4 linked regions of the Stegostoma tigrinum genome follow. The protein of the gene in region 3 interacts with the protein of the main gene of each other region in a pairwise test. Links are inferred from orthologs where the notes say so. Each region holds a gene or a part of one and is shown on either strand. Other genes may lie near its edges.

Region 1 (7,272 bases), on a different chromosome or scaffold from region 3:
AAGGTCAAAGATCTTGGAGCCCCACCTGCAAACACCAATGTGTTGCTCATGCCAGTCATTATAGACACGCTCTGAGGACCTTATATCTTTTAACACATTGGACTAATACCATGAGTAGTGTCAACTTTTGTACACCAAATGGAGTATCGGTGGGGTCATGAGTTACTAGATAACCAAGCTATGCAAAATGAGACTGAGCCTATTGCAACCAAGAAGACAATGGTTTCTCCTGTGAAGCAGAGACCCAGACGTGATGTTCAATACTCAGTACTTCACAGTAAGAGGGTCTCAGGAAAATTAGTTACAATTGATTCTTCTGCTCCTGTATCAATTAGGCATGAGACTTCTACTTGCCAAATTTCATGCTTGCTGTGGGGGAAGTTTATCACTCTGCATGTAATGAGGCTCTACTTGAAAGAACCTTACCTTACCTGAAAGAATGCCACTTCAACACACCCACTGCTCCCCAATGCTTTCAGACTGGCTTTTGATGGAAGGCCTAAATCGTTTAATGTTTGATGAGAAGGGAAGACCATTGCACTGAATGATGAGTCGATGCCTGATGGCAGTCTTGTTTGAAATGTCAAGTCCCATCACAACTCCAACACCACTTGGGAATGGCCCTTGTGCAAGACTGGCCATTGACTTACCATAGAGTCAGGGCAGCAAGATTTGAATCTGTAGGTGCTATGCAGCAATTTGTTCTGCTTACATTTTATGCTTACAGCCTGAGGTTTTTATCCCCTTCTGCACCAATAGTCACTTCCTCAATGGCAGCCTCTCTCCTTCAATCTTTTCAAATATCTGAATGACATAATCCTGCACTTCACAGGACATTACAGGCTTGTCACCACTATGCTTCCTTAACTCTACCTGCAAATTCCCATCACTCACAAATTTTGCTAAGCAGTCCTTCAACTGCTTGTCCCTAAGGCAATTTGGAGAAGACAGCCAGGAGGACTACATGACTGACCCATTTCACTACCTCTGAGGATATGCAGTCTGGGTCCTCTCCTTCGATGTGCTTATAAATCATGAAAGCACTACTATTGCGCAGGCTATTACTGCCCTCAACACTACTGGTCTCTGCACTCAAAGATCCACTACACACTTCTTTGAACATGTGAACCTCTTCCCAGTATTTGCCAATGGGTTTTTCTGTGCTAATGTTCCATTGTGAATGTTGCCATCTCACTTGTGACAAGGCCTCTGGATGCCACAACAAACTGAATATCCTCAATTCAGTCCTCGATCACCAAATCACTGGGCGTTTTCAGTCCTTCTCAGAAACTGTTCAGCCTCTAACTCATCCGCAAGTAAATCAAACCAGGAGTCCTGCTTCCTTCCTCTGAAGCACTGTGGGAATGCATACCAACAAGCCTCTAATTAGATTTGGCCTCAAGGTCTGATTTCCTCTATCGATATTGAACCTCTAATGATACCGGGGCAGCCTTAGCCACCCTTGTAGTCATTGCCAGGTTGAACTCCTCGACTAGCTACCTGAACAATCTTAGCCAAAAGAGTTATACTGCCATTGATACGTTAATTCTGTTTCTCTTTCCACAGATGCTGCGGTACCGAAGAGATGATGGAGAAATCAGTAGAGAGGTTTACACTCCTGAAGGACTTTTACCAAGTAAGGAACAGTGGAGGAAGGGTTGGAAAGCAAAGGACAAAGATTTAAGCTGATTAGCACATTAAACAGGTGCCCTGAGGAAACCTTATGCAGAGTGCCGGAATGGTGGCTCAGTGGTTAGTACTGCTGTCTCACAGTTCTAAGGACCCAGGTTTGATTTCATCCTCGAGTGACTTTCTGTGTGGGTTTCTCCCTTCAGTCCAAAAAATCTGCAGGTTAGGTGGATTGGCCATACTAAATTGCATATATAGTGTCTATGGCTATGCAGGCTAGATGGATTAGCTAAAGGAAGTGCAGGGTTACAGGGATAGGGTGGGATGCTGTTTGGAGGGTTGGTGTGACTTGATGGGCTGAATAGCCCGCTTCCACACTGTGGGTGTTTTATGAATGAATTATTCTGGTCTTGAAAGCATTGTCTGAAAGGGTTGCAGAGCATATTAAGTGCAACATCTTTTTAAAAAATTGAAAATATAAAAGAACACTACACAAACACCAGGGGAAAATACTACATGACTGGGGAAACTACAGGAGGTGAACTCAATGAATAGTTGCATCAAATACTACAGGCAGGATGAAAGTTCTAAAGTTCACAGACACGAAAATTAACTCGTTTCTTAGGTACACCTAAGTAATTCCTGCATGTTTGTAGTTTTATTTCCAATTTCCATCATTTGCTGTATATTGGTTTTGTGTTGCATTGGTTCATATAGGATAAGTTTTGCAGTTGATGGTCCTAACGTCTGATGTAGAATAGGCTGTTAACCTAAAGTTAACTTAAACAACAATGAATGAACTGGCTTGCTTACTTCAAGTAGAACTGTTTTTCGTAGCCGTACAGTATTTGGAAAAACGATACACCAGTGAGCAAATACGTTTAGAGAGAATAGTTGAACTACTTTATTACGATGCCACGTATACAATTCTGCTCAAAGGGTCCCCCATGATTCCCCATGAATTACAGATTAAAGGGCAGCAAATTCCATTGTTTCAATCACAGTCAAGTAGGGAATAGGATGTGGGCTCCGCATTCACGTGTGTTAGTTGGGTAAAGCTGGAGGCTTCATGAGTTTGCACAGTCCTAATTCCGTGATCGGTTAGTGATAGGGTGGAGTTGTCAAACTTACCGATCCTCTGTACTTCTCCAGTGAAATTAGCTTCCCTCTAATGTTCACACTTTTAAATGAGTAAAAATCTTTGTTTTTCTCTTCGGTTGGCCAGACGAATAACAGCAGAGCTATGATCGCTGCGAGTGACATGACTATGAACAGCAAACGGGTGCTGAGTTGTGAGAAAGAAACAGCTCTGCTTGGCGCCTGCTGTTTCTGGGCTGACTGCTGCATTTCTGACTGGCTCTGATACCGCAACAGGGCTCGTTCCCAATCGTCTCCCACACAGATCAGCCATTCGTACCTGACGTAAGGCGGTGCTGCAAAACAGTCGTAATGAACTCCAAAGATTTAACGGTCGCCCAGAAGAATCATTCACTTTTCAATTAGTTGTTTTTGATCCATCCACCGTTCTGAAAGAATCATCAATGTCGGACAAGTCGAGTCACATCTCCTGGATTCGGAATAAGGTTTAGCTCACCTTTTGTCTGCTTAGCACTTGAACATATTTGTTAAATCTCAAGTACTCATAGCTTTTAATTTCAGCAGATAAGAATATCGTGACGGCCGAACTGTCATTCCTAGCCGTGAATCCCACTTCCTGGGGATAATATGCTCCAACTTCTCAAAACGTGTGCTTTTTCTTGTCCAATACAGACTAATACTAATGTCGCCGAATGAAACCAACATAAATGGCCCCTTGTAAATGGACATAACTAATAGAAGAGCATCATAAAGTAAAGGGAACTTTTACATTGATAAATAAAGATTTCAGTACTATCAATTTTTAGGTAGTCCCTCAGGTTTGAGATGACTTGATTCTACTTCAGTGAGTTCTGAAATGGTTTATACGTTCAATCTGAATAGAATTTAAAAAAAGGTTTATTAAATAAACAACAATATTCTTGATCAGAGATAATGGGAACTGCAGATGCTGGAGAATCCAAGATAATAAAGTGTGAAGCTGGATGAACACAGCAGGCCAAGCAGCATCTCAGGAGCACAAAAGCTGACGTTTCGGGCCTAGACCCTTCATCAGAGAGGGTCAATATTTTTCATTTACTGTGAAAGATCATATTCAAAGATGTAAAGCTGATTAACATACGTTTTCAAAAGGAAACTACAAATATTTACCCTTCTAAATACAATCCATACAAACAAAAATTAAAAACAAAAACGTTCTTGGCAGTGGTTAATTTTGAAATCAAATTTGACCAATAATTCTTAATTTCGAAGGAAAAGGGATAAGGTATGAAACGGACACAACAGCTTTCAGTGTGTATTCTGTCAAATATAGTCAGAACAGGGAACTTTGCAGATGCATGCTATTTAGGGATTGTTGATGATGCAGAGGATTTTTCAGGAGAACAGCTAAATCAGTGTTTCTATCATCACACACTGGACCCTCCAACAAGATTTCCTCAGGTGAGAGGACAAGCTGCATAGGCTGTATACCTACTGAACTCTAAACAATATCCAAACAAAACTACTGATGTCCATAAACCTATTTGATTATCAGTAAATAAGTCCAAGCAATTCGATTAAGCCATGCAAATTCTAAGTCTTGAAATAAAATGATCCAATGTCATTTTAGTGATAACCATTTTAAAGAGAAAGTATTTTTCCAGAACTCCAAATGAATAACTGTCCACAATCTTTTAAACATGAATCCTCAAAAAAGTGTGTCTTCATCATATTACGAATAATTAAGCAATATACTGGATATTGAATTTTATTCTCAACACCCCCAACTTGCCCACTATTAAACAGTGTTTTGCTATAAGTTAAAAAGGTAGTCAGCTTTGGTGATGAATAAACAATATGATCCAAACACAAGTTGTGAAACATCCTGAAGGTATGCAATGTCCTCTCTGACAAGAACAACAGCCTGGTCATGTATTCAACCACAATCTATAACCTGGCATTTCCCTTACTCAACCATTACCATCAAGAGGAGAACAACATCAATGAAGTGTGCAAGAGGGCTTGCCAGGAGCAGCACCACACAAATTTAACACTGAGCTGCTAACCTAGTGAAACAACAGCACAGGACTACTTGCACCGTCAACATTATAAGCAGCGTGCAATAGACAGGGTTAACTGATCCCACAGCTAACAAATCAAATCAAAATTCTGCAGTATTCACAGAATCCCTACAGTGTGGAGCAGGCCTTTCAGTCCAACAAGTCCACACTGACCCTCAGAACATCCCCACCCAGACCCATTCCCCATAATCCACCTATCCCTGAACACTACAGGCAAATTATCATCACCAATCCACCTAGTCTGCACATCTTTGGACTGTGGGAGGAAACCAGAGCACCCAGAGGAAACCCACACAGACACAGGGAGAATGTGCAAACTCCACACAGACAGTCACCTGAGGGTGGAATCAAACCCGGATCCCTGGCACTGACGCAGCAGTGCTAACCACTGAGCCACTCTGCCGTCCTACTGTCACATATAGTCATGAATAGCAGTAGATATATGAACAATGAATTGGGCGATCAGTCTCCAAAAAGATCCCCATCCTCAATGGTAGGGAAGCCCAGCAAATCAATGCTAAAGACAGGGCTAAAGCATTTGTAACCATCTTCAGCCAGTAGTGTCATGTGGATGATCCACTTTGGCCTCCTTCTCAGGTCATCAGCATCACAGATGCCAGTCTTCAATCAATTTACTTCATTTCATATGATACCAAGGAACAACTAAAAACACTATCTGGGGCAAAAGTAATGGGCTTGACAATTTGGCAGTAGTACTGAAAACTTGTGCTCCAGAACTAGTTGTGGCCCAAGCCAAACTACTCCAGTACAGCTGTCAGAAATTGTCCAGGTGTGTCCTTTCCACAAAAAGCAGGACAAACTAAACCCTGCCAATTACTACTCCATTAGTCTACCCTCAATCATCAGTGAAGTGTTGTTGGCAGTGTTATCATGCAGCATTTATACAGCAATAAAATGCTCAACATCATTCAGTATGATTTCTGTCAGAGCTATTCAGATTCTAACCTTATTGCCACCTTGACCCAAACATGTACAAAAGAGCTGAACTCAAGACGTAAGGTGAGAATTACTGTACTTGACATCAAGACAGTACTGGTTTGAGTTTAGCATCTAGGAGCCTTCACAAACATTAATTCGATACCAACTGGGGGAAAAAAACTCTCTGGTTGGAATGATAACGAGCAAAATTGTGGATTTTGGAGGTCAATTACCTGACTCCAGGATATAACTGCAGGAGTTCCTCAGGGTAACGAGTTATGCCTAAACAACTTAATCAATGACTCACCTTCCGTTATAAGGTAGAAAGTAAGGAATGTTCATTGATGACCGCACAGTTCTCAGCACCATTTGCAACTCCTCAAATAGGAAATGTTCTGAACCCATATGTAGTAAGATCTGGACAACTTTTTGGCTTGGAATGATAAGTGACAAGTATCACTTACACCAGATAAGTGCCAGGCAGTGTCCATTTTCAACAGGTAAGAATCCTGTCATCTACTTTCGCAAGTCAACAATATTACTGTCACTGAATCTCATGATCAAATTTCCGGGGCTTATCATCGACCAGAAACCGAATTGCACCATCTACATAAATACTGTGGCTACAAGAGCATGTCAGTGGTTGAGAATTGTGGCAAAAAAAATCACTTCCGGTCTCCCCAAAGTCTGGTCACCATCCACAAGGCACTATTCAGGAATGTAATGGAATAATCTCCCTTTTCCTGAATGAAAGCATCTTCAAGATACTCAAGAAACTTGACACCATCCAGGACAAAGTAGCTCATTTGAGGGGCACTTTAACTCTCACCTTCAATATTCACTTCCATCAACACTGACATATAGTGACAGTGGTGTGTACCATCTCCAAGATGTGCTGCAGCAACTCACCAAACTTTCTTCAACAGCACACTTGAACATGCCAACCTTACCACCTGGAAGGACAAAGGCAGCAGATGAATGGGGACATTTAGATATGCAAGTATTCTGCCAAGCTAAACACTATCCTGATTTGGAACTATGTTGCAGTTTCTGCATTATCAGTGAATCAAAATACTGGAACTCTGTTCATACAGCACTGTGGGTGTCCCTACACCACATGAACAGTGGTTCAAGAAGTCAGTTCCCTTCCATTTTCTCAACTGCAATTAGGGATGGGTAAAACCGGCAGCATCTTCACCTCATGAAATAATAAGCAGCAGCATGGATTACTTGGACTAAGTGGCTTGCTGCTGCACATATTTGATATGCTGCACATATTTGATATAATTTGGATTGTTCGTACAGCCATAACAACATGCTTCATTTTTATAGAGCTTTTGTTCTGGTTTCATACAGTCAAATCTATGAGAACAATAGCACCAAGATGTATTTTGTTTTGTTTTTACAGAGTGTTTACTTTGATTGAATTTCTAAAGCCGATTTTCTTCAGCTACCTAGACCTATGTCTGCAGCAGGAAGAATCAGCACAAATTGTTTCCAGCTGCCACTAATGCTTCCTTTAAGTGTCAAAATGTAAAGGAGGGGC
Region 2 (7,456 bases), on a different chromosome or scaffold from region 3:
AAGAAAGAAATAAAAGGATGCACTGATGGAGTGCAAAGATCTTGGGGTAGGAGGCACATTACAGCAAAATTATATCATAAACAATTTTCTAAAGAGAAAAGAAAATGATGTGATTCTAAGTCCACTTTGAAAGCCAGAACAGAATCTGTCTAGATCATTATCTCAGGCCGTGCATTCCGTGTTTGCGTAAGTAAGCTTATCCTCATGTTGCTTTGGTTCTTTTGTCACTGATTGCTTCTGGTTTTTGACACTTCTGCCAACAGGGACAGTTCTATCTACTCATGACCTTGAACCTACTGTAACAACTTTTAACCTTGTCTTCTCCAAGAAGAATAATCTCAGCTTCTTTAGCTTACGCAACTAATTGAAGGCCTGGAAGCAGTCTTGAAAATCTTTTCAGCAGCCTCTCTAATGTCTTCATATGTTTTTTAAAATGTAATGCATCAAACTCGGCACAATTCTCCAGTCTAGGCCAAACCAGTGTTTTGCAAAAGGTTCACCATACCTTCCTTGCTTTTGTACTACAAGCTTCTATTCAAAGCCCAGAGGTACCTATGTGCCTAACTGGTTTTTTCCCTTAAATTTTCATTCTTTTTGGAATGTCAGCTTGAATCAAATGAATCAAAACATTGACTGAAATATGGCCTGTTACTTTTCTGTCTTAAATTAAAATTAAACTTTTTGGAGATTAAATTCCTTTCATTTTGTCATTGAAATAGTATCCCAAGGAACGGCCTGTGGCTCACAGGATTAAACAACAGAGGACAAGGCCGGTCCGACTAGTCTGTTGTCATCTCTTGAACTGGCTTAATTTCAGCTCTCTGACATTTCATTCTACTCCACTGGGTGTCATCCCATTATCAAACAACTACTGACCCCATCTCTTCTCGAAGCAGTAGAAGAAAATTGCCAACCTCATTGCTCCCGAAACCCATTTGGCATTTCTACCTCATTCCTCATCCACAAATGCAATTGTTTTGGCAGATCCATCATTTCAGCGTCTCTTTGCTTTGTGGAACCGATTTCTTCTTATTGCAACTCTATCTTTCCCACTCATTGTCCAGTCTCTCAAACTTATCATTAAATCTGCTCAACATACCATGGATGATTTAAATCCCTTTACCCAACAATTCCTCTCCAGTTTGTTTTGCAGGTTTCTTAATGGCATATCCTCAATTTCTTGCTCTTCGGTTCTTATTTGGATCTCTCCAGAATTGCATGAGAATTCTCCTCAACCTCACTTTCCTCATAAATTTTAAAATTAAATGCATCATCTTCCATTTCACTAGCTCAAGCATGATATCGCCATCAAACGCACAAGGTGCCCATCCACCCTTTCTGCTAGCTTAATAGATAATCGCCTCCACCAGAACCTGGTACACTTTCCAATCACCCCCTCTCCTTCCAACAACACATATCCATGTGAGGAAAGGAGAAACAAAAGCTTTCCTTTTTCCTTCTCATTATCCAGTATTCCAATGCCAGTCGTAACTTACTTATTTCTTTCAATTTAGTACACTATATTATCTGCCCACAATGTGGTGCCCTCTACACTGAGTGGGTGACCACTTTGCAGAACACCACCATCAGTGCGCAAATGTGATCGCTAAGCTTCCAATTACATTGTCAGTTCTCCACCCATTCACACTGACAGATATGTCCTTGGCCTCCAATATTATTCCGATGACGGTCAACTAAAACATGAGGAAAAACATCTCACCTTCTGATTAGAAACTTTTAATTCTAATTTTTTGGAATCAACACTAAGTTTCGTAATTTCACTTCACAATTTCTGACCCCAGTTGTTTTCAAATAGCGGTGATGGCAACATAATAACAGAAAAAGTGCCAGAAAAATATTCAGCAAGTCATATGAATTAGTGGTGAGAGAAAGAGTTAACAATACAGGCCTGTGAACTAACATCAGAATATTCTGAATGAAGTGTTCTGGTGAAAGGTCAACAGGTACACTAATATCCTTCTCTTTTGTTTGGGTGCTGGATGACCAATTGAATATTGGCAAAATTTTCTGATTTTATTTTGAGTTTTTAGAATTGATATTTTTTGTTTTTGTATAAAAACTGATGGTCATGTTGATACGCCATTTACATATCCACTGAACTAGGCTTTGGTCCTTCAGTCATACCAGCTGCAATCTCCTTTGACTTTGCACTGTTGCATCCTTTTGTCACTTAGTCACCCTTTCACTCTTGCTGTACCTACCTAAAACACAAAACAATTCTAAAAACTTTTCCAGTTCTAATGCAAGGCTATCAACATTTACTTTTTCTCTCCTTGGATGTGCCTGACCTGAATATATACATCATTTTCTCTCTTTATTTCCAGGATCCACAGAACTTCCAAGCTGTGACGATTATTTTTCCCACTTACGCTTCTGGGCTAATCGTTTGTTCCGTCACTTATCAGCTCTTTTTACATTGCACTGTATTGCTACTGGACATCTTCTGAATTGCAGTTTTTGTTTTCCATCCAACCAACCAACCTCCATAAATTCCTCGAAAGTCTGCACTCTTGCTGCTCAGCCTCCCACCAACGCCCCCGCGTCAATTCAGAATGCTATCAGTCTCTTGATCGATAGGACAGTTAACCAATCACGCGGTTCGCGTCACAATGGCTGGTCGACAATCAGCGACCAATCGACTGGGGAAGAGGCCGGAGCATAGGCGGATCCGCAGCCTTTGCCAGCAGGTTAGGTTGAGTGGGGCTCGCGGAAAAAGAATGATCTGGAAGGTGCCGACGCTCGAGGAGAGGGATCGGGCAGGAGGAGGAGAACGGAGGATTCGCCCGGCGGAGCCGCGTACACCGTCTCTCTCTCCCAAACGTGGCCATGTTCCTCCCCGTCTCCACACCGACAAACTCACCGGAAGAAGAGCGTCCGGTACATCTGGTGCGCCTCATAGTAATCGCCCTTCTCGACACTCGCCCGGAGCTTGCTCTCGACCCGCTGGACTCCGCCCCGGTTCCTGCAGCACTTGGGCACCTCGCCGTCCGCCATTGCTATCCGCAGCCAAAGGTCAAAGGGCGAGCGGCTTATGCGCGGCGCGCCGACGTCACGACTACGGCGTCCTTCGCCGCTCAAAGAACGCGGGCTCCAGTCATCTTCAAAATCACAGCGGAGGTCGGGTTGAAAGAGGCGGTGCTGCAGCCGCTGGAAATCTAACACGTCTAGAATATAGGGAATCCAAGACATCAAAATGTGAGGCTGGATGAACACAGCAGGCCAAGCAGCATCTCAGGAGCACAAAAAGCTGACGTTTCGGGCCTAGACTCTTCATCAGAGAGGGGGATGGGGTGAGGGTTCTGGTTTTTCCAGAACCCTCTCTGATGAAGGGTCTAGGCCCGAAACGTCAGCTTTTGTGCTCCTGAGATGCTGCTTGGCCTGTTGTGTTCATCCAGCCTCACATTTTATTATCTAGGAATTCTCCAGCATCTGCAGTTCCCATTATCACTGCTCCAGCTCCACGATGTGCTGCCGCCTTGAAGGGGGCTGGGGGAAACTGTTAACGTTGTTCCAGCCAGCGGAGCAAGCTAGAAGCAAGGTGTGTATAAATCCTAAATCTCTTCCTTCTCTAGTAGACACCTGGGTCTTCTCATCTTAACACTATTGAGTTAAGCTAGAGCGGATCCAAGTTTTTAAAGACCCTCAACTTTTTTTTTTCGCCCTTCGTGGAGGGGAGTAGGTATAAAGGGCTGTATCTGTGGTAAAAGAAATATGACGCACTGATTTTTTAAAAAAATTTATTTCATTTGTGTAATGTGGGCATCGCTGGCTAGCTAGCATTTTTCTTCGAACCCATCCCCAGTTACTTGTGTCACAGAGAGGGTAAAGATTCGTGAGCGTTGTTATTGCTGAGGCAAATAATATTGACTTTGGCAGACTTAATGAACTCTTAAAACATAATAGGAACTGCCCCAACATTACTGAAAACTCTTGCTCTTTGAGACTTGCTTTAAAAGAACCCTGCTGTTTTCTCAACACCTTAAAAACACTACTCTAGGAAGGTCTCTATTCTCTTAAGTGTCAATACCTTTGGAACCACGTGCAGTTAATAATGTACAGGGTTAAGGAATTTTGCACCAGACAAGTCTTAAACGTAGAACTGTCTTTGATGCAAGCCAACCAGACTGTAGCTTTCAAGCTGATTGCAGGTCAAGAGATTTTAGAATTAGAATAAAGATTAATTGTGGCATGCAAGGACAGAGTATAGGCACCCACTCAGAGGGCTGTGGTGGAGTTGGTTAGGTTTTGCCCCTCAGGTTGGTACTCACATCTACAGAGCAAAGCTTACACAAGGAACAAATGTTTGGGCTAACAATCACAGGGAAGGCTCACTTCAGGAGTGGTGACCCAAATTTATGTGGGAAGGAAAGCTGCTTAGGATAGGTATTTTCTGATCAATCTGATTAGAGATGCTATTACACACCTCTGGAACATGTGGGACTTTACCTCTGAGCCAGAGGCCCAGGTTCGAGGCATCACCACTGCTTGTTAAGAGGCCCGAGTGCCTCAAGATAGTGCTCTGGACCTAATGATCTGCAGCTGCTGGGGACATTCACCAACAAATGCACCTTATTCAGCACCATTTGCAACTCAAAATACTGAAATATTCCATGTCCAAATGCAACAAGATCTGGATAATATCCAGGCGAGTGTGACCAAAATTTTTGCACCATATAAACGGCAGGCAATGATCATCTCCAAAAAAGAGAATCTAACCTCATCCTCTGACATTCAATCAAGTTATGATCACTAAATCTCCCATGATCAACATCCTTGGTGATCAGAAACTGAACTGGAAAATCATAAATTTGTGGCAATGAAGGCAGAAGAGGCTAGGAATTCTGCAATGAGTAATCCATCACCTGACTCCCCAAAGCCCATCCATCCACAAGGCACAAATAAGGAGTTTGCTGGAATGCTCTTTACTTGCCTAGATGATTGCAGCTACAACAACAATGAAGGTACATGACATTAAAGCCAAGAAGCTTACTTGATTGGCACCATACCCACAAGCATCCAGTCCCTTCATCACTGACCCTCAATATCAGTAGTGTATACCATCTACCAAGCTGTAGTGCAGAAATTCAACCAAGAACCTTCAAACCACCTTTCAAATCCATGACTGCTTCTTTCTAGAAGATCAAGGGCAGCAGATAGACCTGACAGGTTCTCTCCAAGGAGACTAAAAATGGTCAATAAAAGCTAGCCAGCCAACAATGCCCACATCTCATGACCAAACTGTTAAAAATCACAATAAATGCGAATTAGATTCTAAAAAGTGAAAGACTAAGTCATATCCCTTCCATGATCAAGATTCAACCAGATGTAAATGAGTTTCAAACAATTAAAGTTTGATGAACAAAACTAGCCATGAGAAGAGATTGTGAGGTACTGTTATATTTCAATGTAATTTCATTTCAGGAGAAAAAGATCAATCAGAATCTTTTATATTCTACCTTAAGTCTTATGCAAGTACTTTCAAAATAAATTCTGTAAAAATTTTGTTTTTTGTTTCTTGATAATCTGCAAGAGAAACCCCCAGTACACTGAAGAAATCAATACAACTGTCTACTGGGAATCCCCCAGTTAAGAGTGCAGTCATGTCACCATTCAAATGGTGATAAAGACCAGATTACTGCCAGAGATTGCCAAACCTGGGATGCTGATTTCATTGTCAATGTGCTAGGTGCTAATGTTTTGTTGACAACCACAGACATCGAGCTACATTCTTACAACTCTAAACTGAGTTAAACAACAATCAATTTTTTAAATTAGTGTAAAACTGAAATGCCTAAAAACTAGCTGGATAGGGCTGTTGGACTGAATTAAACCAGGTTCTAAAATATCCTAAATGCAGTCATAACAGAAAGACTGATCAGAGAACCCTTCAGAGAATGACTAGTGATTGGAAAAATAAGGATAGTTCTTGTCAAAGCTACTCCATTTTAAAAATTAAAAATAGAAAGCTTCACATAACAAACATGTGATGCAAAAATATAGATTGTAGCTTATATGATTAATTTTGCAGTTTGATGGTTACATTTCCACATAATGCACTGCCACCTAGCTTGACCAAAAGGTTATCCCATCAACAGAAGCTATTTTTCTGCAATTCTTAACCTGCTGCACAGGTTCTAATGGAGCAAGCTGGAACTTGCAGTCAAAGCTCATCACTCCAATAGGTGGCAGTACAGATTACAGGGGACAGTGGGAACTGCCGTTGCTGGAGAATCTGAGATAACAAGGTGCACAGCTCAATAAACACAGCAGGCCAAGCAGCAGAGTAGCTTTCTGAAGAAGGGTCCAGACCCAAAACATCAGCTTTCCTGCTCCTCTGATGCTGCTTGTGTTCATTCAGCTCTACACCTTGTTAGTACAGGTTACAATCCAGGTTGGCTTTGACAAACAGTACCCATTACAGAAAAGAACAAGATCACAACAGCGAGTTCTATGAAGAGTGTTTTTAAAGTTCGTCAACTGGACATGTTCATTGCACTCTTAAGGCATATTATCCTTGTCATCCAAAAAGCTCCTGAATTGCTTAGACTCTGTCAACTTTCACCAACTGCACTGACAACTGACCTCAGCTACACTAACAAAATTTGAAATTGAAGAGTCATCTGCTCATCAACACATACCTCTCCAAAAGCTCAATAAAAACTGTTCTGACCAGAAGCTTGGAGATATCTAACCAAGCAAAGATTTGCTATTTTGTGGGGCATATCCCCAAGATAGAAACAAAAGGAACATGGTGCACTCCAAAATAGGGAATCCACAGATGTTTTGTCTCTCACTTGAACCAACAATAGGGATGTGTGTACTGATTTTCCCTTCCATGAAGACCTTACAACCCTGTTGCACCTATTACAAAAAAAACTGTTCGTCAGGTTAGCAAATTCATTTCATCTCACATCGGAGCACCAACTCTTCACCATTACATCTCATGAGTCAGCAAAAGCCCAGAAAAAAGTGCCTCGTTCCTTTCACCACTCTGCTTGTGTGGCATGAATTAGCATTCAAGTCATTTGACCTTGAAACCTGAAATGTTGCCAGTCTTTTCATCAAATGGATTTTGAATGTATCTGACCAGCCAGGACGTTTATTAGTAATGATAGCATATTTAGCACCATGCACATTCTTGAACAAATCTAATGCAAGAGATCATGTTTGCTGAAATTGATATATCCCAACATTCAAGTATCTACAATAGCCTTGCAATAAAAAGTTCTTAACATTAACATTTAAACAGTACACAATGCAAAATTACAGTCAAACCTTTCATCTGAATCCTTTAATCAGGTCCCAATGAAGTCTATCGTAATTGGAGATATGTGCATTTTAATGAATCAATTTCTTTACAGGAGTTGCTATGAAAATTAAATTTCAGTCATGTTTCAGGAATACCAGAATGTACAAATGCCAATATAGCTGTTTG
Region 3 (7,901 bases):
TGACAGTGCCAACGGTAATTTTGAAAGTGTAATTTTTCCGGTAAAAGTTATAGCCAGATATAGCCATACTAGTTTTGGTTTGAAAAATCTTCTTGTAGTTGTACAACTTGCTGACTGTGATAAGATGGTCAGATTTAATTATGCTAATACCGAGCTAATATTATTATCACTCATCCACAAATCACTCAGCCAAAAACTGAACATTTATTCCAGAACAGAATTTCTGGAAATGTGAAAAGGACTTTTAAGCTCTGAAGCTAAATTATTCAGGAATGTAATTTTCGCCAAAATTTCTAGAAATGCTGTTAATAGCCTGAACATACTGAATTGTACTCCAAGTAAGTCTATGAAGGAATATTTTGGCTGAAGATTAAAAATATTAAGTGAGACAGCATTCTACCATCAACCAAAAGGTTGACCCAAAGAATTGAAAATAAAAAAATCATTCCCTCACATACACCAATTCTCTCAATGAAATCAGAATTGGAATCAAGCAGCCTTCCTGCACAAGACTTTCAGAGACATTTTTAACCTTCAACGAATGAGGTCACCCGCTACAGAAGCTACTTTACGTTCTCATTTGCTCCAAAATCAGCCACGATACTGTTGCTCACTCTCACGTGAGTTCCTAGAGACTGACACTGCTTATAAAATCATTCAGCAGTGCTTCTGTGAAAATAAAAGTGAGCACTGCACTTACACTTCTGTTCAAAGTGGCTGTGACTCCCAAGCTGAAATGAGGTTATGCTGCGTCAGTTGGGCACTGAATTTGGACATACTCCAAAACAACAAAATAGATGCACACTTAATTGTAGCACTGATATTCTGATGTTATTTTTCTCTTCCCACCCTCTCCAGCATCATGCTAACAAGGATTTGGATGACACTAGGGAAACATACATTCCTTATTATTTTTACAAAAGCTTTTGAGTCATTAAATGAAGTACTAGTGCTGGAGAACGGTACAATTTACATTTCAGGAAATTAGTGTCAGCATCAAATGCTCCCCGATCCAGTGTTAGGAATGTGTGACCAATAAGGTATTTTTCAGTCTGGATCAATTGTAGGTCAAACATCAGAAGATTGATGATATCTCTCCGTTTCTTACACCAGAGTCAGATTGCAATTAATATCTTGTAGAACTGGATTGAGACTGTCTGAATTATTTCTCATATGATTCTTAACATATGCAATGGAAAGAAGATATGTTTTCCCCATCAGTACGGGCCAGACCCCAATAAGCTCATCACTAGAGTATTGTATAGAGATAAATTTTAGGAAGTCTTGTCCAAGTACTCATATTTCTCCTGAATCTATGGGGCTACGTGAACAAGGATATCAAACATGCACTTTTACAACCAGAAGAGTGGTGAATTTCTTTTTCTGATTAAGTAAAATAAGCTGAGTAAATCTCTCAAAGATCACTTAAAGGAACTGTCAGATTGCTACAAAGATACTCGAAATCCATGGTGTAACATTCTCAATTTAATCATGATGCCAAAGGTAATGGAAGCAGCTTTCAAGAGAAAAGCAGTTATGTGCTACTATACCGGCAATTAAAACTTTTATGTTTTATTTAAACCATCAGGAAGCTTTACCAAGTTGTGAATGTTGGGGTAATGGGGATATTGTCAGAGGCCCCCTTTCAGCAAATACTTAAGGCAATCTGACAAAGCAGTACAGTTGCATTCTTAATATTAGAACAAGAACCTGCAGCACGGAATCTCACTCAGTGTTTCCAAATAGTGACAGAAAGTGAGATAATAGCATTTATACATGCACATACACAAAATTACTAAAAGCTGGTGCACCAGGACAAAAGAAGAAATGGAAAGCCTAACACAGTGTTTGACTTTACATTATTCAGAAGTGAGTAAATGTTGAGGGTAGATCAAACTTGGCTTCCATATCCTTGAAGGTTGACCGGTAATCAACTGTGGGCTTTAACATGGGATTCACTAAAACTGATATAAACAATTGTTTATATTGAGGACATTAGGCCAAGAGGACAATTCTCAGCCATACAGCTGTGGTTGCTCAGTCATCAAGTTCACTTATTGGTGATAAATGGATTTTTGAATAAAGGAATTAAAAACTATTAGGGCAGCGTAGGTCAGTTGCAATCTTGTAGAATTACAAAGCAGACTTCAGCATTTATTTTTTACACTGTCCAAACTCATTATCTTTGTATTTAGTAATGTTAATTTAAATGTAAATGGTGAATTAAGAAATTTAGCATCCTTAGCAAGAAAAAAGGATTCTTGCTTCAGACTAAACCTTCGCCAGACTGAGAACAATTGTGAAATTTTGAAAATCGCTTCGAAAGTCTTATGATTGAATTGGAGTAAGTAAAGATCAAATTTAAACATGAAACATTAATTAATAAAACAATTCCAGAAATGCACAGGTCAGCCAATATCTCAAAAGAAAGAAAATGTGTGTATGTTTCAAAACATCTTTGATTTTGGTATCTTTGCTGTGGTGTACAATCCCAGAATTGGAGTCAAGACTGAATCAATGACTCCAGTGTCCAAGTAGAAAGCCCAGGATCACATTAAAACCTCTTCTACAACTTGTCCTGCCATTTTCAGAGTTTTGAATCTGCAAATCCCGAATTCTACTTTTCCTACAAAGCCACAAAAATGGGCCCTTAATTTACAGTGCCTTTGCTTATTCATTAAGCAGGTTTAATATTTAATCTCATGAGACAGCATAGAACCAGTCTAGAAATATATTAAGTCATTGTAAGGAAGCTCAAAGTCTTGAATGCGTGACCCAAGAGAGGGAAGCACTATTCACTGGATAACAGGTTGCACAAGACACCAATCCATCAATCCTCAGTTCTGACGGCAGTCACATGTGTAAATCAATAGCCTTTGCCTTTTTAAGATGATGACAGGGCCCTGTATTTTCAGCATTTGCGGCTTTCATTTCAAATATACAGTTTTTACCTGAGTTTCTTTTTAAAAAAGCAGAAATTGAGCACTTAGGATTTATAATGTTCAGGGAGCAATCACAAAGCTGAGTATGTTTTTGTTTTAACACAGTGTGAAGCTGGGTGAACACAGCAGGCCAAGCAGCAGAGGAACAGGAAAGTTGTGTGTTTCGGGTCAGGACTCTTCTTTAGAAACTGGGGAGGGGAAGGGGATTCTGAAATAAATAGGGGGAGAGGAGGTGCATAGAAGATGGATAAAGGAAAGATAAGGTGAGAGGAGACAGACAGGTCAAAGAGGCAGGGTTAGAGCCAGTGAAGGTGAATGAATGTAGATGGGGAGTGAGGGAGGGGATAGGTCAGTTCAGGGAAGACAGACAGGTCAAGGAGGCGGGGTGAAGTTAATGGGTAGATGTCCCACCCCATTTCCTACCTACTAGCCTCATCCTGCCCATCTTTCCTGAACTGACCTATCCCCTCCCTCACTCCCCACCTACATTGACCTTCACTGGCTCTAACCCCACCTCTTTGACCTGAGTCTCCTCTCACCTTATCTTCTCCTTTATCCATCTTCTATTCGTCTCTCCCTATTTATTTCAGAATCCCCTTCCCCTCCCCAATTTCTGAAGAAGGGTCCTGACCTGAAATGCAAAACTTTCCTGTTCCTCTGATGATGCTTGGCCTGCTGTGTTCACCCAGCCTCAGTAAGTGTTATCTCAGATTCTCCAGCACTGGCAGTTCCTACTATCTCTGTATACAAATTTTCAAAAAAATCATCCCACATCACTCTCATAGCCAGTGAATTAAGGAATCAATCTGTAAATTCAGGCAAGAGGCAGCATACTTTTGTGTAAAATACGTATTGCCCCTAACATTGTTGAATGATGGAAGGGTCAATCAACATATTCAGGCAAGAAAATAAGTTGCACTGTTTTGTAAAATAAAGAACTGTACATATTGCACTTAACATAATTATGGAAGGAACCAATTTGTAAATTTAAGCGAGTGTGGGGGGGGCAGTCATTATGATTTTTCTTTTGCAAAATAACCGTATGTATTGCCTCTAACATTGTTGAATGAAGGAAATAATTGACCTGTAAACTTAGCATTATTTTGTAAAAGACTACAGGTATTGCTCTTAATACTGCCGAAGGAAGGAAGGAAGAAATCAATCTGCAAACGCAGGCTGACCAGGTAGCATTACTTTGTAAAAGACTGTACATATTGCCTCTAACAATGTCGAATGAAGGAATCAATCTGTATTTTCTGTTAAGACAGTGGATAACATTTTTTGGTGATTTGTGGGGGGGGGGGGGGGGGGCAGTGAACTAACGGCATCTTCCACCAACTCCCCCGCCCTGCTCATTAACCAGGAGGCAAACTGAGAGCAAAATCTCTCGCTCTTACAATATTCAGCACGCTTTTCTTCCTGTCGCTCTGGGCCTCAGCACTTTGCTCCTGGCCAGCGGCCACACTCCTCTTGCCTCCATTGTCTATGTCCCCGCCGCTCGGCACGGCTCCCCCTTCACTCCTCAGCTTCTCCTCTTCCATCTTCTTCTTGAAGAGCGCCATGAAGCTGCCATCGTTGGCGAAAGCGTTCACCCCTTTGCTCTCCGAGGTGCCGTCCGCTTCGCTCGGCTCGGAGCTTCCAGAAACTTCGCGGCTCCTCCGCCTCTCCGCCATCTTGCGGGAACGAGGGGCCGCTGAGGCTTCTGGGGCAGAGGTAGAGGATGGGAAGCTGAAGGACAACTGCCTGAACAAATCAGCACCTCAAAACAAAAACAAACCACTAGCTCAATAAGACAAGTGCCAAGGCCAACCGATTATCTTTCCAATCGCGATGGAGTTGGGGAGATGCCTGACATCTTCGCTGGCCGACAACTGCGCATGACCGCACTTCAACGGTCCCGAAAATTTCCCGCCCCCGCTGGTTAAAAAAAAATAGATGTTAACGATAAAGATGCGTAACATTTTAAACTTGATGACCAGGAAACGTACAGGCGCCAGTTTTAAAAGAAGATATTAATTCAAATATTACAGCCGAGCCAATCGCGCCGCGTTTTACTGAAGCGGCGCTGTACCAATCAGTGTTGAAGATGGAGGCCGGTAGGACGGGGGTTACGTGGAGTTTTGGGGCGCGGAATGTCACGAATGTGAAGAAAAATTCCTCCGGTCCTTTCGTGTCTTTTGATAACGCTAAAATAGCCCGCCTATTATGTCAGCGTGTAATTATTTAAAAATTAACGACAAATAAATTAAGAAGTTCGGGGTCGGGGGGGTTCTTTCCCTCAATCGATTCACAGTCACGTGGTAACACCGAGATGGCGGCGGCAGCGGTGATGGACGAGGAGTTCGAGGATGCTATAGACGTGGAGCCCCTGGAACCCACCCTGTGCAATATCATCGAGCAGAAGTCCCTCAAATGGATCTTTGTGGGTGGGAAAGGAGGCGTGGGCAAAACCACGTGCAGGTATTAACGAGGAGAGAGCACCTTTACCAACTAACTTCAGCATTTTTAGATGTTTTCTGTATCAGTCTGTGCAGAGCTGCCTCTGGAGTAGTTGGGACTTGAGCACGGGTCTCCGGACTCAGCGATACTCCCACAATGCCATAAGAGCCCGAAATCCAGCGGTTTGTGTCTGTTATGCATCTCCCTCTGATCTTTTCGCTGGGGAGTGCTCGCAAGGAGGTGTGCGGTGAGCGCACTCGATGGCCACGTTAACGTGAAATATGAAGTCGGCAGGTGTTCCATGGCACGGCGCCCGAGTTAAATTTTGTAGAGCCATTGATTGGAAACAAGTTGAAAACTATGTTAGTCTTTTGAGGATTAGCCAGGGAAGTACTAAGCAGAGACGTGAGGATGCTGAAGGTCTGAAACAAAAATAGAAATTGTTGAAGAAACGCAACAAGTCTGGCAGTAGCTGTGGAGAGAAAGTAGAGTTAAAGTTTCAAGGCCAGTGACCTTTTAAACAAAGGAAATTTGCACACGCACGTTGTGGTGTGTACAGTTAAATTGGAGCTTTGGTCACGTGGACTTAGTGCCCTGCAAACTATTTTTTTGCTTTTGAGGTTAGAGATTAGATTCCCCACAGTGTGGAAACAGGCCCTTTTAACACAACAAATCCGCACCGCCCCTTGAAGCATACCACCTCTAACACACACACACACACACAGCCCTGAGCACTACGGGCAATTTAGCATAGCTGATCCACCTAGCCTGCAGACTTTTGGACTGTGAGAGGAAATTGGAGCACCCAGAGGAAACCCACGCAGACACAGGGAGAATGTGCAGACTCCACACGGGCAGTCGCCTGAGGCTGGAATTGAGCCTGGGTCCCTGGCTCTGTGAGGCTGCAGTGCTAACCACTGAGCCACCGTGCTGCCCCAAATACCGATAACAGGTCTCTCTCTCTTTCCTCCTCCTCCTCCTTCTCCTTCTTCTTCTTCTTCTTCTTCTTCTTCTTCTTCTTCTTCCCCCCCCCCCCCCCCACAACAGAGTAACTGCTTCCAATTAAACAAGAAAATTCCAAATCCTCCTTTAATGGTCTTCCATTCAACAAATGTTTATAGGGTAGGCCATTGGGTTTAAAAATAATGTAAGCATAAAATATTTGTTATTAAAAGTAAGCTAAATTCAACTGGTGAATGAGATAGCAAAAGGAATGCCATGTTGAGTGGAAATTACAAACCAATACACTTTCCCCACACTGCATGTGTATGTGTGTGTCAGTATAACTTTTACTTTTTTTCATTTGTGGCAAATGCAGCAGAAGAAAGCTCTCCCCCCTCCCCTTGTACCAACTCCACCATTCAACCAGATTATGGTTGATCTTTTACATCGGTACTACTTTTCTTGCACTATCCTCAAACCTTTTATGATCTTGAATTGAAAATGAAGAATAGGAGTGGGTTTAGATCAGACACCTGTTTGTGCTTTCTCAACCTTTCAAAGTAAATACGGTCAATCTTCTGTGTTCACTCAACTATGTGATAATCTGTCAATCTCAGTCTTGAATATTGTCAAGGGGACTCTGACATGTTGAATTTTTTTAAAAAATCAATTTTTCTTCAAGTGAAGAGACTTCTCCATCAAAAATGGTTGGCTCTCTATTGGGAGGTTATGCCACCCAGTTCTTGACTTTCCATCCATAGATTGCAGAATCTTTACAGCAAAGAAGGAAGTCATTCCTCCATCATGGTTACATTAGTTATCTGAAGGACTAATTCACCTACTGCTGCACTCTTCCACCCCACCTATTGTCCTTTAGCCCCGCACATTCTTCCTTTCTCAGATAATCCGATTGACCTTTGGTATATCTTGATTGAATCTCCCTTCACCACATTAGGGTAGTACACTCAGGTCCCTGTCACTTGCTATTAATGAGGCACAACCTCAGTATCCAATATGTTTAGTCCTGTGAATAAATTTTAACGAGATTATCTCAACTAAATACCAAAGCATTATTGGCTTGTTCTTCTCCAATCGTTCACGTGAGGCAACCTGCATTTCAGGAATCGGTTTACTAAGCTTTACTTCATTGAAAGCAAAATGGGCCCTTCAATAAGCACAGTTACCAAAACTGTATAAAGTGCTCTTGGTATGCTCTTTCCAGATCCCTTGAAAATTGCAGCAAAACACTTTTGTAAAAGTAAAATTCAGTGGATGCTGGAGAAATTCAGCAGGTCTGGTAACATCTGTGGAGTGAGGAATTGGCCTCTGTGTATCAAAACCAATTAATTGTCCTGCAGAAGAGTCACATTGAGCTAGAAATGTTAATGGTTTCTCTCACCACGGATGCTGCCACATTTGTTGAGTTTCTTTGGTATTTTCTGTTTTTAATATCCTTTTTTCTTATACTGCCTTGCATTTATCATTCAATGTCCATGCCTTCCACATTGCTGAAAGTTGAGTCCAAATTTAATGCCATTCAATAGGGCATACTACTGGAAACAAAACTTATATCTTTTG
Region 4 (7,745 bases), on a different chromosome or scaffold from region 3:
CCCCACATTCAGTTCCAATTAGCGACAATCTGTCACTTTCTGCTTCCTTCTCTGCAATATACCATTTTATAAAATACAGAATACAGCTCACATACATTTCACTGATAAAAGGACTAATCACATTTCAATTCATACATTTCCGTCAACTTTCCAGTCCAATTTCATATCCTTTCACAATTTTTAAATTATGTCCCATAGGTCTCTTTAGTTTTAGAAGTTCTCATTTTCATTAATCAAACCATATATCTAAAGCTTTCTGAAAATTCAGGTCAACAACATCCTTAAGCACCCCCACTCAGCAGCCAGTTCTCCACACAGGAATTGCAGCATTTGAACAGAATACATGTAACACTTTTCAACATTCACATTCAAAGTCTGAGTTTCCTCATTGCCTATGCAATAAACTTTTGCCTTCAAAAATATCGACGAGTTGTTTAAAATCAAGCAACACCCATGATTTGTAAACAATTTCTGAATCACACTGAAATGTCTCAACATTACTATATAAACTACACATACTATAAACCCAGACGAAACGACACCAAGAGATAGCAATAACTGCAGATGCTGCAGTCAGAGACAACGCAATGTGGAGCTGGAGGAACACAGCAGGTCAGGCAGCATCAGAGGAGTAGGAAAGTTGACGTTTCGGGTCAGGACCCTTCTTCAGAACAGTTCTGAAGAAGGGTCCCGACCCGAAACATCAACTTTCCTACTCCTCTGATGCTGCCTGACCTGCTGTGTTCCTCCAGCTCCACACTGCATTGTAACTACACCCATGTCCTTTTCCAGTGAACAACAGGCATTTCCAACTGTTACAACTACATATTACAATTATATAAAAGTGATATAAATGGGAATTGCTTATAAATAGGTATAAAGATCACAAAAAATAAGCACAATATAATCAAGATCAACACACAAGGCAAATCACACTGTGCAGCACTCAACACCCACCTATGGCTCTCCAGCTATTCCTTCCATTCTGGACAAAAGGAATCAAAGTCTGCAGGTACTCAGTCCCAACAGAGTGGCAGACTTGGATTATGCTATGCTAGGGGTGTTCTAGTTATGAAAAGCTTTTTTAAAAGCACTGATTCAGCCTCAAGTGAATTTGTGTCGACAAAGCTGACATCTCCCTGAAGAAAGGTACGAAGACCTTAGACAAGGTGCAGACAAGAGATTGTTTCCAAGGATAAGAAACTAGTCATGCAAACAGATGGCAGACTCATTGGTTGTTCTTCAAAAAGATTGCTTTGAGTTTTGACTGTTGTTCAATCCTGAGGAATCTGGATGCAGTGGATAGAGAAACATTCTATTTGCAAAAGATCAAGAACCAGAAGGCATCAATACAAGATGAATAGCAAAAGAATCAGAGTGACAGAAGAAAAACCATTTTGTTTTTAAATGTAGCCAATGGTTAGACTCAAAATTGTTGAGTATGTAGTTAAACAGGTTGGAACTGCTTAGAAAAATGAGGTGACCTCATTGGAACATATACAATTCTTAAGGGTCTTGACATGGTAAATGCTGACAGCATACTTTCTCTCATGAGGGAGTCCAGGGCCAGAGGGCTCAGGATTGGCTCAGATCTCAGAATAACAAGGTTCCAATTTAAGACTGGGATTAGAGGAATTTGTTCTCTCGAGGGCTGAGTGTCTTTGGAACTCCTTGTCACAGAGCACTGAGGGGACAGAGTCGTTGTGTATATTTTAAATCTACAGGTCTGAAGATCCTACAACTCTCTTCCATCAGGGAAAAGATACAGAAGCTTGAACACATGCACCAGCATGTTCAAGAACAGCTTCTTCCCTGCTGTTATTAGGCTGCTAAACAGACTAACTTCAAATCTCCTGTGCAGCTGTAACCTTGTATGCTTTGCTCTAAGCACTCTATGATCTGTATGTCCTTGTTTGCTATGATCTGTCCATACTGTTCGCAAAGCAAGACTTTTCACTGTACTTAGAGCCATATGACACCAATAAATTCAAATCAAATTAAGGCTGAGTTAAACAGATTCTTGATCAGTTAGGGAATCATAGGGAAAAGGCAGGAAAGTAGGGCAGGGGTGTTGGATCAGCTATGATCCAACTGAACAGTAGAGAAGGCTTGAGGGTCCACTGTTAATATTTCTAATGGCCTTACACGGGCTATGTAACTGTCCAATTCCTAATTATCTAGAAAGAAAAGTAGATAAATGTGCAGGCTGTATAAGGGAATCGGGCAAACCCAGCTGCTCCTATATAGTTCAGGATGGGTTATAACTTCAGTTTCTACAAAAGGAGAAACTGAAAGAATTAACAATTATGCAAGTGGAACCACGTATCTTCTCTAACATCCAGTTTTAAAAAGAAAGACCACAAATGTTGATAAATGAAACACGGATATAAAAGCAGAGCTGAGATGTATCAATGACCTTTGAAAAGAAGTAGCATATAATCGATCCGAAAGACAGCACAAACGCTGCATGAAAAGCAATGATCACACGGACATGGGGCGGACCCTGTCTTACACACCCAGCAAACCAGAGCAAGGAGCATTTGACAGTACGTTAGCGGTGGGAGATGGGCGAGGGGGGTAAGTGGGTCGGGTAGGAAAAAAAGGGGTACAGCAGCGGGAAACCCATTCCAGAGGAGGGATGGGGGGTAAAAGCTCCAACTTTCCTTCGTCTTTTTCCCATAGCGGGTGGGGGTGAATACCGGATCCGGCAGCCCCGCGCCGAGCAGCGGCAGGACCTCCTCTCGCCCCCTCCCAGGCCCGGCCGTCAAACCCATCCCCCTCACCTTTCCTGGATCCTGACGGGTTAGAACGGCTGTTAGCTGTCTTGTTCTTCGAAGTCATGGTTCACTCGTTCAAAACGTGCCAGCAGATAGAGAAGGATGCGGCGACAGCCGGGCAACTCTGCGTCTCTCTCACACATACACACAAAACTCGCTCTCGCGGCCGTTAGTCCTCACCTGACCCCCAAGACCAAATCCCTCCGCAGCCGTGGAAGGGGGGGTGGGGAAAGCGTGGCCGCAGGCTGATCGACAGCCCCCTCCACCAATCGATCGTAGGTCTCCCGTCAGGCTCTTTTTGCTATTGGCTTCCCAGCGGGATGCTCCGCCTCGCCCCCCGCGCCCATCGAACGTGGCAACATGGAAGCCGAAAAACCTCGAACGAGAGCGCCACCGGCCGACAGCAGGAGCTGAAGAGCTGCTGCCGCCTTGGCGCCCCACCCCTTTTGGTTTGGTGGCGTGTTGCAAGAATCTTTACCTGTGATCCAGGAGTTTCGAGTTCAAATCCCGCCGACATCAGAATCGTGTAGTAATCTCGTAGTATCAACATATATTTTCCAAACTCGAGGGCAAGCTCTTGTGGAGTAGTGGCAATGTCCTTCGCTCTAGGCCAGGAGACGTGGGTTATGGGCTAATAAATTTCTGTTCAGTAATATGACTGAAAGAGCTGGACATCTGAAATATTTCTGTGCGGTATTATGAAACAAAAACAGAATTTCCTGGAGAAAATCAGCAGAAATGACTTACATTTGTGGAAAGTTTCAGAGTTAACTTTTCGAGTCCAGTGACTCTGCATCGGAAGGACAGAAGTGACATGACACCAGATTACATACCAACAGGTTTATTTGAAGCCTCAAGCTTTCCCAGCGCCGCTCGGTCGTCAGCTGCATCCAAAGAGTCAACACCTCAGTGCAGCTCTGAGGAAGGGTCACTCAATCCAAAATGTTAACTCTGATTTCGTTCCATGGATGCTGCCAGACCTGTGAAGATTTTCCAGCAATTTCTATTTTTGTTTTTAACATCTCAGTACAGGTTGGTTATAAAATGTTTAAGGGCTCTTACGGTACAGTGGTTGTACAGGGCCTCTGGGCCAGGAGAGTTCCTAAGTGTGGGAACAGGCCTTTTGGTCCAACAGGCCCACACTGACCCTCCAAAGAGCATCCCACCCACACCCATACCCTATCCCTGCATGTCCTGTGGCTAATCCACCTAGCTGAACATCCCTGAATACTGTGGGCAATTCAGCATGGTTAATCCATCTGCTTTGCACGTCTTTGGACTATGGGAGTAAACCAGAGCACCTGACAGAAACCCATATAGACGTGGGAAGAATATGCAAACTCCACACAGTCACCCAGGGCTGGAAAAGGATCTGGGTCCCTGGTGCTGTGAGGCAGCAGTGCTAACCACTGAGCCACCATGCAACCTGCTTATTGATGAAATAGGGAGGTCTCTTGTGGTGAAATGCTAGTATCCTAACCTCTGACCCAGGAGGCTTGGGTTCAACTCTCATCTGATCAAGAGGCATGTCATAACACCTCTAAACAGGTTCAATAGAAATATCTACTAGCGAGTGTTGAGAAGATTTGTAGCTCAGGTTGAGTTTCTGGATGTGAGTTTGCTCGCTGAGCTGGAAGGTTCGTTTTCAGACTTTTCGTCACCATTTATTTGAAAAAATATACTTTATTCATAGAATGTACAAAAAAGTAAAACATTTATACACCTACCCAGTCATGCAAGCCGCTCCGGGTTACCCAGGGGGTACGTACACCAACGAAAGGAAAAACACAAAACAAAGAAAAAAACAAAGCAAAGAAAATACCCTGGCGGTCGTCTCCCTGCACAGTCCCTGTTGGCCCCCTGACCAGTTGGGGAAGGCGCCGGCTGGGCCTAGTTACCAGATAGGGCCCTTTTTTCTATTCTGGACGAGGGGTTTCATACGGTGGTCTTTCCCCACCGTGCCTTGGCAGTAGCTACCCAAAGCTTTAGCTCGTCCCTCAGCACGTAGTCCTGGACCTTGGAGCGCGCCAGTCTGCAACACTCGGTCAGGGTCAGTTCTTTCAGCTGGCAGACCAGTAAGTTGCGGGTAGACCAAAGAGCGTCTTTCACCGCATTGATGGTCCTCCAGGCGCAGTTGATGTTGGTCTCGGTGTGCGTCCCAGGAAACAGCCCGTAGAGCACGGATTCGCGTGTCACGGAGCTGCTCGGGACGAACCTCAACAAATACCACTGCATCCGCTTCCCGACCTTCTGCGCATAGGCAACTCCAGAAGGAGGTGATAGACAGTCTCGTCCCCCCCGCAGCCACCTCGAGGGCAGCGTGCGGTGGCGCAGAGATTCAGGGCATGCATAAAGGATCTCACTGGCAGAGCCCGTCTCACCGCCAGCCAAGCAATGTCCTTGTGCTTGTTTGAAAGTTCTGGCAATGAGGCATTCTGCCAAACGACTTTGGCAGTCTGCGTGGGGAACCACGCGACGGGATCCACCCTCTCCTTTTCCTGAAGGGTCTCGAGGATACTACGTGCTGACCACTGCCTGACGGCCTTGTGGTCAAAGGTGTTTCCTTTCAAAAATTTCTCCACGAAGGACAGGTGGTACGGGACGGTCCAACTACTTGGAGCTTTCCGTGGCAACGAGGCCAGGCCCATCCTTCGCAATACCGGGGACAGGTAGAACCTCAGTAAGTAGTGACACTTCGTGTTTCCGTACTGAGGATCTACGCACAGCTTGATACAGCCACATACAAAGGTATCCATCAGGGCGAGGCTGGTGTTCGGTACGTCCTTTCCCCTGTTTCCCAGGTCTTTGTACATGGTGTCCCTGCGGACCCGGTCCATTCTCGACCCCCAAATGAAGTGGAAGCTGGCCCGGGTGACCGCAGCGGTGCAGGTCCAGGGGATAGGCCAGGCCTGCGCCACATACAACAGTACCGAAAGCCCCTCGCACCTGACAACCAGGTTCTTACCCATGATGGAGAGGGACCGGAGCGTCCACCTGCCCAGCTTCTGCTTCAGTTTGGTGATATGCTCCTCCCAAGTCTTAGTGCACACCCCAGCTCCACCAAACCAAACACCCAGCACCTTCAGGTAGTCTGTCCTGACAGGGAAGAGGATGAAGGGGCAGTTGTCCCAGTTCCCGAAGAACATGGCCTCGCTCTTACCCCTATTGACTTTGGCACCCGAGGCCAGTTCAAACTGGCCGCAGATGTCCAACAGTCTACTCACCGTCCGACAATCGGTTGCAGAAGGCAGCGACGTCGTCCACGTACAGGGAGGTCTTGACCTGAAGGCCTCCGCTGCCTGGGATAGTCACGCCCTTCAGGCTCACGTCCTTCCTGATGGATGCGGCGAAGGGCTCCATACAGCACACGAACAAGGCAGGAGGGATCAGGCAGCCCTGCCTGACTCCAGATCTGATGGGAAAACTGTCCGATTCCCACCCGTTGATCGAGACTGCGCCAATGATGTTGGTGTAGAACAGCCGGATCCAAATGCGGATGCCCTCACCGAACCCCAATTTGGAGAGGGCATCCCTCATGTAAGCATGAGAGACCCTGTCGAAGGCCTTCTCCTGGTCCAGGCTGACGAGGCAGGTGTCCACCCTCCTGTTCTGCACGTAGGCGATCGTATCCCTGATGAGCACGAGGCTCTCAGCGATCTTCCTGCCTGGCACAGCACAGGTTTGGTCAGGGTGAATCACTGACTCCAGGACAGACCTGACCCGGTTGGCTATGACCTTGGCCAGGATTTTGTAGTCCACGTTCAATAGTGAAATGGGACGCCAATTCTTAATTTCTTCCCTCTCCCCCTTACTCTTGTAAATGAGGGTGATGATGCCCTTCCTCATGGACCTGCATATTTCCCCTGCCCAAAGCACACTATTGTACACCTCCAGCAGGTCCTGGCCGACAAGGTCCCACAGAGCGGAATACAGCTCGACTGGTAAGCCGTCGCTCCTGGGAGTTCTATTCCTCTCAAAGGACTTGAGGGCTCTGGTCAACTCGTCCAGGGATATCGGCCGGTCCAGCCAGTCCCTCGTGCCGTCGTCTAAGACCTCCGTGATAGACGACAGGAACGACTTGGAGGCCGTGTTGTCCGTGGGCTTCGCGTCATATAGTCCGGCATAGAAGGATCTGCTGATCCTCAAAAGGTCAGGCCGAGACGACGACACCGAGCCATCGTCCTCCTTCAGCCAGCTAAGCACAGAGCTCTCCTTGTGCACCTTCTGAAAGAAGAAACGCAAGCACATCTTGTCCTGCTCCACGGATCGGATCTTGGACCGGAAGGTTATCCTGGAGGCCTCCGCGGCGAAGAGCGAGGCTTGCTGGCCCCTCACCTCGCGGAGGTCCTCCGTGACATCGACCCCCATCAACTGCAGAAGGAGCAGGTTCTGCATCCTTTTCTGGAGTCGCAACAGCTTTCTCCGCCTCTCTCTCGCCTTCCGAACACCCTTAAGGACAAAGAACCTCTTGATTTTCTCCTTCACTGTCTCCCACCAGTTGCCCGGAGACTCAAAGAGGGGTTTCATGGTTCTCCAACCAGCGTACTCCCTCTTAAGCTCCTCAACGTTTTCTAGGGCCAACAGAGTCGTGTTGAGCTTCCACGTCCCCTTGCCGGCCTGCTGGTCGTCCTGTAAGTGACAGTCGGCCAGCAGGAGGCAGTGGTCAGAGAAGAACACCGGCTCGACGCCGGTGGACCTGACTGAGAATGCTGGTGACACAAACAGGAAGTCTATCCTTGAGCGGAATGACCCGTTTGGCCGCGACCAGGTGTATCTCCGCTGCGCTCCGTATGCAGGGGTGCTGAAGACGTCGAGCAGTTTGGCGTCCTTCGACGTGCCCATCAGGAATCTGGACGTGACATCCAGTTGACTCCCCCCACCCGCTGTCCCCACGCCGGATCTTCCGTCTGCATTGATGATGCAGTTGAAGTCTCCGCCGAGGATGTCCGGCCTGGACGTAGCCAGCAG

What was found.
Region 1: the proteins of get3 (region 3) and gpx7 interact in binary tests that used the Homo sapiens proteins (3 or more experiments, as listed by UniProt). The two-hybrid records come from large-scale screens. The link is inferred for Stegostoma tigrinum from reciprocal best matches to the Homo sapiens genes GET3 and GPX7.
Region 2: the proteins of get3 (region 3) and get4 interact in binary tests that used the Homo sapiens proteins (3 or more experiments, as listed by UniProt). The link is inferred for Stegostoma tigrinum from reciprocal best matches to the Homo sapiens genes GET3 and GET4.
Region 4: the proteins of get3 (region 3) and unm_hu7910 interact in binary tests that used the Homo sapiens proteins (3 or more experiments, as listed by UniProt). The two-hybrid records come from large-scale screens. The link is inferred for Stegostoma tigrinum from reciprocal best matches to the Homo sapiens genes GET3 and ASPH.

Annotation. Positions count from the first base shown.
Region 1 is NC_081361.1:64,431,281-64,438,552, reverse strand, and holds the start of gpx7 (glutathione peroxidase 7), read right to left. Parts: upstream 3,183-7,272; 5' UTR 2,977-3,182; coding exon 2,761-2,976; intron 1-2,760. UniProt on the Homo sapiens protein: It protects esophageal epithelia from hydrogen peroxide-induced oxidative stress. It suppresses acidic bile acid-induced reactive oxygen species (ROS) and protects against oxidative DNA damage and double-strand breaks.
Region 2 is NC_081376.1:37,652,295-37,659,750, reverse strand, and holds the start of get4 (Golgi to ER traffic protein 4 homolog), read right to left. Parts: upstream 3,061-7,456; 5' UTR 3,016-3,060; coding exon 2,882-3,015; intron 1-2,881. UniProt on the Homo sapiens protein: As part of a cytosolic protein quality control complex, the BAG6/BAT3 complex, maintains misfolded and hydrophobic patches-containing proteins in a soluble state and participates in their proper delivery to the endoplasmic reticulum or alternatively can promote their sorting to the proteasome where they undergo degradation.
Region 3 is NC_081388.1:16,863,316-16,871,216, forward strand, and holds the start of get3 (ATPase GET3), read left to right. Parts: upstream 1-4,659; 5' UTR 4,660-5,253; coding exon 5,254-5,402; intron 5,403-7,901. Other genes in the region: trir (telomerase RNA component interacting RNase), read right to left, coding at 4,340-4,615.
Region 4 is NC_081358.1:34,176,294-34,184,038, reverse strand, and holds the start of unm_hu7910 (aspartyl/asparaginyl beta-hydroxylase), read right to left. Parts: upstream 3,019-7,745; 5' UTR 2,842-3,018; coding exon 2,784-2,841; intron 1-2,783.